2 linked regions of the Arabidopsis thaliana genome follow. The protein of the gene in region 2 purifies or fractionates together with the protein of the main gene of each other region. This does not show direct contact. Each region holds a gene or a part of one and is shown on either strand. Other genes may lie near its edges.

Region 1 (3,663 bases), 2.8 Mb from region 2:
GAAATGCTTTTTATTTTTTTGTTTCTCAGCAAGATATGAATGGATGTTCAGAGAGGGGCAAGAGTTGTATGGAGTGTGAGGAGGACTGTTATGAAAAGCAGCTTCATGGTTGGTATGGAGCTCTACAGAGGCAACTCCAACGGTCTCAGTATCGAATGCGATATAGTAAATCGGTTCACGCTGCAATTTGGATTATTCTTTTAGTTTTTCTTATTGGTAAGATTTACTGAACTCTGAATCATTTATGTTTAGAACGCAAAGCTTACTGCATCACTTTTGAGTTTTGAGATAAATTGTTTTTTTTTCTGATTGCAGTGGTAGTTGCAGTGCATTCAATGTAGAAGAGAGGTTTGGAATAGCAAGGTTCGAGTTCATTCATCTTCTGTGTAACAGCGAAAGAGACGAATTTGGCAATCCACATTTTTACTGTACAGTAAATTCCAACTGTTTTTGGTTGTTTGTAATATAGAAATGCATTTTTTTGGTTCGATTATTTGAAACGGGTTTCATTGAGCAATCATTGTTTTCTTAGGCACCAATCCTATTAACCATTGTAGAATTATTTGGGACTAAACCCAAGATTGAAGTGGAACCTTCTAAAAATGACAATTCAGAATACAGAAATGCATTTCGTATTGGATTATTTGAAGTAACCGTTTCATTGAGAAATAAGAAAAGGTGTCAGAATTCTTTTACAATCAATCCGAGCAGAGTATTGAAGCACACGACTGCTTAAGTGGAGTTTTTGGACATGTTAGCCACCACCTCCTCCCGTTTATCGGCAGTCTCTAACTCGATGCCTTGAAATGTAAGTCTAGATGAACGATAGTGACTCCCAAACGCAGTCCCGAAACCCCACCCGAGGCCCAAACCCACCCCGCAACCGCCACCTTTGTCAAATACCAGACGCATAAGTTACGTAATTAGAATTTAGGAAAAACCTGCTCGGTGTGTATCTATGCGAGTGTGGGATATTTGAAGTAGAAGTTTGAAATGCTTACCAGCACCAACACCTAAGATGTTCATAGGCATTCCTGCATGAAAGCAACGGAAATCTCCAATTCAGTAGGTTTGCAAAATAGTATGAATCCATCAAAATGTAAGCGCAACTGATACTAGCTATGCGTTTAAGCAACCATTAGCTAGGAAAGAAGAAGCATTTGAGTAAAGATGATATGTAGGAGTTGATAATCTCTATAAGAGACATTAAGCAATATGATCACAAAACTAAACAAGCACAGCAGAGTGCATTGCACATCCCATAGCAACTAGCAAGAGAATTGTTCCAATAGAATTATCTTGTAATTCAGTCCAGATTTTGTTCAAGTAAAAGCAGAAAAAGAGAGAAGTTGAGAACGAACCTCCAAAACCCCATCCAACGCCAAATCCACAACCAACACCGAACCCTATGAATTCCAATAACTAAATTACGATTCCAATCAAAATTAAAAGGAGAAAACAATTGCGAATGGGGGCATTACCAAATCCAACACCGACTCCAGTGAAGTCAGAGAGCACCATAGTGATCTTCACAAGAAAAAAAAAGAAACCAATTTAGGAATCTATAAATTCAAATGAGCAGAAATTGCGAATCTGAATTACCCGATGATACCTTGTTTGTTGTTGGTAATCGGTGAATCTGGTAGATTGCTCTCTCTACCTCCCCCACTTAAAATCGCAAGCCCTGAAAGCAAGAGAAGAAAGGTGAAGACGATTTGTTTTAGAGACGTACCAAATTAATCGAACCGGTTTAACTAATGAACCGGGATTATTTTCAAAATGATTTTATGTAAAAGAATTTGGTCAACAGTGAACCGGCCTAATTCTTTTTCTCAAGGTCAACAACAGTCAACAGTAAAATAAAACGATCTAGTGAGCAAATGGATCAATCCATATGCAAAAATGCTCATGTCCCATTGAAATCCAACTCACAAATAGGATTTGGATGGTTGAGACAGACAAACAGATAAGTACTTATGGCCATTTTTTGGAGTAAACTAATGAGCAACGGTTTGAAATAGACAGTAGGAGGAGAAATAACATTTACTAGTTTGTGCTACAAAAGAAACTACACTCACACTATGAATTTATTGATATACAATACAAGGAAGATCGTATTCATCAGTTCCAATTGGTATGGATGACCAAGTAATATTTCTTTATACTATATGCTATTAGGTGAAATAGATGGGAGCTTCTATCATAGTATATGAAACAATATTATAAACTAAAAATTGGACTGACCTTACTAAGACTACACATTCCTAACATTATGCGGCAAAAAGAACGAACTTCTCCTGCTGTCTATTTACAACTTCAACGAAACTTCCTACAAGAATTTTAGCTTCGACAATAGCAAAAGTAAAATAACCGGTCTAGGGTTTGTTTTTGAATGAGTTATACACATTGATCTCCTGCTTCTTCACATCAACCATTTTTATGGCCGTGCAATGTCCTAATTTTGGGGCCTTGAGATAAGTCTTCAACGTGGGAATCAAATCTGAGTTCTGAAGGTGGAATGAAGCAATCTATAGACAAGCCAGGGACATTGAACGAGATTTCATCGATGACCCATGCTTCTTGCATTGTGGTCTTAGTGTTATGTCCTGATGACATATCTCCAAACCTTAAAAGCGTAGCCACGGATCTACCAGAGTGAGCTATCATGATACCTTCGACAGGTTTGTAGTCTTCTAGGTATGAGTTGATGGTCGTCTCCCAGTAAACCGCTTCGCCTCCATTGTTTTGGATTCGGGTTAGCTGGGAGTCTTCTAAGTGAACAAGCAGACCGGTTTTTTGGCTGAAGTAACCGAACAACGTATGTCTTATGGTCTCTGATGCCCCTTCGCTTCTAGCTTTGAGTGTTGCCGGGTCTGCACATAGCTTGAGAATGAAACAGTCTTCTCCATCGATCTTTTTTTCTCCTATGCACCTTGCATTTGCAAACATATACGCTGTGGTCCTCGGGTCAAGTCCCTGAAAGTTGACAACAGTAACAATTCAGTTATGCAAGCAAAGAAAAGTGTATGAGAAGGCTTCCTTGGGACAAGAGGCCTAACCTGCAGAGCACGTCGTAATGGTCTAACCGGTCCTTTTGCAGCATGAGGTCCAAGCCATGGTGTGTGTCTCCACACAAGCTTCCCGTCACAACCTGCAAGAACCTTGCTCCCACCAAGAACAAGCTCCATGTACCACATATCAGGATTCATATGCCACAACACAAATCCTCCAGACTCAACAGCTTTTGACGAATTATTCTTGCTCTTTGAACCTTTTGAGCCTGTCTCAAACTCTGAAGCCATCGTCCTGATTCTTCCCATAACATATCCATTTTGCACAGAACTATGAAGCTTTTGACCTCCTGATGCAGCCGTATACTGCTGAAGTATGTACTGAGCAGAGGAAGTCTCCTGAAAATTCAAGTATTAGTAAGAGTCATTAGACTTTACCCTCAACACATTAAAGCAGAGATAAAACTTGATAAATCTCAATTAATTGCGCAGTCTTTCTCCGTAATTAGTAGGCAACTAAAAGAAGATTCAGCTAAATTCAAGCTAGATTATGGCACAGAAGAGCTTAATTCAACATGATTAACTCCAAATCCCCAACACTGTCCTAATTTTGAGGAGACAACAGTGAATTAAGAGCTCACCATAGGTGTAT
Region 2 (4,269 bases):
TACAACTCTCATTAGTGAACACTCATGTAACCAAAACTGTTAACCATTAGCGTATGATTGAGAACGATCCTCCCTCATAAAATATGTGAAAGTTATCTAAGGGAATGTTAAGATATAGTTTTTGTTTTATTCAAACACCGTTAGTTAAACTTGAAAGCATGCATGCTAATGTTTGGGATTCGATCCTATGCGAGAGATCAATCTTAAGAGAGGTTAAACTTCACATTCAATAATGTACCGGGAATGGAGACTTCAAGAATCATCGGCTTGATAGACCACTAATAAAAAAATGACAAAAACTAGAACATCCAAATATATGTCGTTCGAAAATGTAATTCCGTAGCTAGCTTATACAATTCTATACACAGAAGATATTTCGAATATAGACACATATAAGATGTTGCGGTAATGCAATTTTAAGTGTAGTTGGACATGGATTGGTGAGAAAAGTAAAGTGAAAAAAAGAAATAATTAAGGAAGAGGGGGCTATAGCTCTGAAACCCTAGACGAAAGCAACACTGCATTGCCAATAGTAGAAACAGTGCGATCACGAGATTCAACTCATTCCTACTTTCTTACTTCTTAGTATCCACTCCACTTGTAGTACTAGCTAGCTCCCTGCCACGTGGTCCTCTCCTCTTCTTTTAGCTTTATGGGCCTTGTAAAGCCCGCGGGCCCCATCTGCCCATCCCATGCACATGCATCACATTATGCTTTCTCTCTATCTACGAAATTACGAATATAAGTATACGTATAGAACACTTTTTACAATAACCAAGGGTCAAAGTTTTCTCGAGTCGGAGGATATGAACTAAATAGTACATTGTCTACCAGCGAAGCTTGAACATGAGATCTTGAGACACATTTCCTTTGGAAGGTACTGAATTGAGTGTTCATAGCGGTTCAAGGAACTCGATTAATTTAAAATACCTGAATTACCATTTTTTTGGGGATTCGTTGTGCTTTTTTAATCAATCTACCGGAAATGAAGACAAGTTTTGCTAAAAACGTAACACTTGAATATTGTAAATTTGTAACATAAAACTCTAAAACCTTAACAAATTAATACCTCTAATTAAAATAGAATACTCATAAAAATATAAAATGTAAAAGATACAAATATTGAATATCTTCTAATATAATTCTAAGATGCGAAAGATATAGTAGTCGAATTAAAGCAACCAATTTCAGCGTTTCCTTAAACTTATATTTCCAAAATATCATCTAGGACAGTTTGTTTTTTTTAAGAATCGAGACCCTCTACTAAACTCTTGCATTCAATTTGGTAGAATCACGTTTTGTGTAGGAGAGAAGTAGTGCTTTTGGTTTGTAGTGTAGAGTAGGGTAAACGTGAGTATATAAAACGTAGAGAGGCATATATTATACAGAGAGTGTGCTTTTAAAGAACGGACCGGCTGAAGAAAAAGATAACGTTGTTGTCTCCGTAAAGGTTACCAAGTATCACTGTCACGTGACCACCACCATTCCTCTTTTCACATCTTTCTCCTTTCGATATTGGTTATATTATAGTTAAGTTAGCATTTAGTTAAATTTACTATATATTAGTAAGCAATGAAGGGGATATTAGTACAAATCTGGACATGAAATGTAGGCCTTTATTTGATTGATTGTCTTGGTATAAACATTTCATATAATAGCTTTGTAGATTTATACAACCAATTAAATAATTAACACTTTACATATACAGAATAACATAAAATGTTTAGATCATATATTTTGTCATTTTGGATCAATAGAGAAAAACACTCATTGTTATTTTCTTATTTATACTTTTCTGTATCAGTCTATGTGTAAAGTACAAGTGGACCTGCCGTGAATGGCATAGAGCCCACGCTTTACTTGTAAAAGTATATTGGGCTTTACGGCCCACGGACCAATTTATGTTTTGCCATTGGTTTTTTTTTTGTTTGTTTTGTTGGGAGTTAAACCCACACATCTTCTTCGCAACTGTTAGTTGTGTGTGTTGTTGTTGTTGGCACTGTGCCACTTTCTCTCTCGATGAACCCTCTCAAGCAAGCTTCTTCGATCTTCCGAGCTTAGTTTCGTTTCTAAATGTAAGTTTTCAAGTTTTTGTTTCAGTAAGAAGATTGATAGACCTAATTATTTGTTCCCCTTCTATATAGTAGAGATTTCACCTAGATTGGTCCGTACATATCTTATACTGGGATTCGAATTTGGCTGCCTCAGAGTCAGAGATTGATTAATTGATCAGGTCACCGGAAACTTTTTGTCTCGATTTGGATCTCTTATGCAAAATCTGTTGTGTCCTAATTCTATTTGATTGTAAATCAATTTGATTCTGGGTTTATTACAGATTCAGCTGTTGAAATCGTGCTTATTGCTACAAATTGAGAGGCACTAAATCAGTGAGGTCGTAAAGAAGAAGGCAACCACAATGATGCAGACTTGTTGTATCCATCAATCGTTTTGTTTCCCTCATAGGTATTTTGTGTTGCCATAAGTTTATAAGCTTTCTCATTTGCTTCATTGTCAGAATATGTTATTTTGGATTCTTGAATATTAATTTTGCAGAGTCTTTCCACGGTTTGATGCTTCGATTGGTATTAAGCCCCCAAAGCTTTGTCAAGTTGGTTTCATTGGAAAGACTCAATCTTATGGGATTTCAAGTCCGATACGGCAAAGAAGATTATATGTGAATTTGAATGCTAATGATGGTCACCCATCCATGTCTATGTTGGAAGAAGAAACCTCTACTGAAAACAACGCACCCAGTCAAGAAGCCGAGCTTCCGTTCAGCAAATGGTCACCTTCTAAGTACATATGGAGAGGTTTATCAGTTCCTATTATAGCAGGACAAGTCGTTCTCCGGATTTTAAAGGGTAAGATTCACTGGAGAAACACTCTTCAACAGCTGGAGAGAACCGGACCGAAATCTCTAGGAGTTTGTCTTCTGACTTCTACATTTGTTGGTATGGCTTTCACAATCCAGTTCGTTAGAGAATTCACTAGACTAGGTCTAAACAGATCCATTGGAGGTGTCTTGGCTTTAGCCTTCTCTAGAGAGCTAAGTCCAGTCATCACATCGATTGTTGTTGCTGGACGAATGGGAAGTGCATTTGCAGCTGAACTAGGGACAATGCAAGTCTCAGAGCAAACTGATACACTCCGTGTTTTAGGAGCTGACCCAATTGATTATCTAATCACTCCAAGAGTCATCGCCTCGTGTTTGGCTCTACCGTTTCTGACACTCATGTGTTTCACTGTTGGTATGGCTTCAAGCGCTCTGCTCTCTGATGCAGTTTACGGGATCAGCATTAACATAATCATGGACTCGGCTCACCGAGCACTTAGACCATGGGACATTGTGAGTGCCATGATTAAATCTCAAGTCTTTGGAGCTATAATATCGGTAATTAGTTGTTCTTGGGGAGTAACCACTACTGGAGGTGCTAAAGGTGTTGGAGAATCTACAACTTCTGCTGTCGTCATGTCTCTTGTCGGAATCTTCATCGCGGACTTTGTGCTTTCTTCCTTCTTCTTTCAAGGTGCTGGAGATTCTTTGAAGAACTGTGTTTGACATATTATTTTCTGTCTTCTTTTGTTGTGGTTTAGATGGGTTTATGTAAATCAGTTGTCTTAAATTGAGAAAGTAACATCATTTTAGAAAGAACAGAAAGATTGCTATATTTCTATTCCAATAATGATACACATTGAATAATCTTGAACTATATAGTTCATCGGAAAATTTGCAATCAGTATGGGCGGAGTTAAAATGTTATGCTATGAACTTATGACATAACATCTTATTTGACCAAGCAGATATAACATGGTAAAACCAAACTAGCTTACTTGACCAATAATCCAAAAAAAATAAGCATGAAGTTTTGAAAAAATGTTGAAAACTGGAAAAACTTGGCCAATCTCTTGACTTTTCTCTTCACCTGCCGCTTTGCATACGACTCGACGCTTCCTCAAAATGAACCATCTTTGTCCTACGAGGGTACGAGCCTGTCTCATCGTCTCGAGCCGCCAAACCAGCTTCTATAACCAAAGCTTCAAGATCAGCTCCACTAAAATTCTCACAACGCCTAGCTATAGCATCCAAATCAACACTTGTGTCTAAAGGAATCTTCCTCGCAAGAGATTTCAGAATCAAACCTCGTTGAACAGAGTTTGGAAGAGGTATATAGATATGTTTCCCAAACCTCCCTGGTCTTGTAATCGCAGGATCCATCATCTCCGGTCTATTCGTTGCACCAATCACAAACACTCCATCTCGTTCTTTTC

What was found.
Region 1: the proteins of ABCI14 (region 2) and AT1G27695 purify together in Arabidopsis thaliana (affinity purification with western blotting, with the first as the bait; one study listed by BioGRID). This does not show direct contact.

The regions. Positions count from the first base shown.
Region 1 is NC_003070.9:9,637,072-9,640,734, reverse strand, and holds AT1G27695 (glycine-rich protein), read right to left. Parts: upstream 1,712-3,663; 5' UTR 1,613-1,711; intron 1,589-1,612; exon of another isoform or gene 1,528-1,588; 5' UTR 1,522-1,527; coding exon 1,482-1,521; intron 1,407-1,481; coding exon 1,362-1,406; intron 1,035-1,361; coding exon 1,002-1,034; intron 891-1,001; coding exon 733-890; 3' UTR 531-732; downstream 1-530. Other genes in the region: AT1G27700 (Syntaxin/t-SNARE family protein), read left to right, coding at 30-216, 316-341; AT1G27690 (lipase, putative (DUF620)), read right to left, coding at 2,428-2,976, 3,060-3,410, 3,653-3,663.
Region 2 is NC_003070.9:6,844,396-6,848,664, forward strand, and holds ABCI14 (trigalactosyldiacylglycerol 1), read left to right. Parts: upstream 1-1,942; 5' UTR 1,943-2,075; exon of another isoform or gene 2,076-2,147; 5' UTR 2,148-2,233; exon of another isoform or gene 2,234-2,335; 5' UTR 2,336-2,416; coding exon 2,417-2,463; intron 2,464-2,553; coding exon 2,554-3,559; 3' UTR 3,560-3,727; downstream 3,728-4,269. UniProt on the Arabidopsis thaliana protein: Required during embryogenesis. Permease involved in lipid transfer from the endoplasmic reticulum (ER) to plastids, and necessary for thylakoids formation.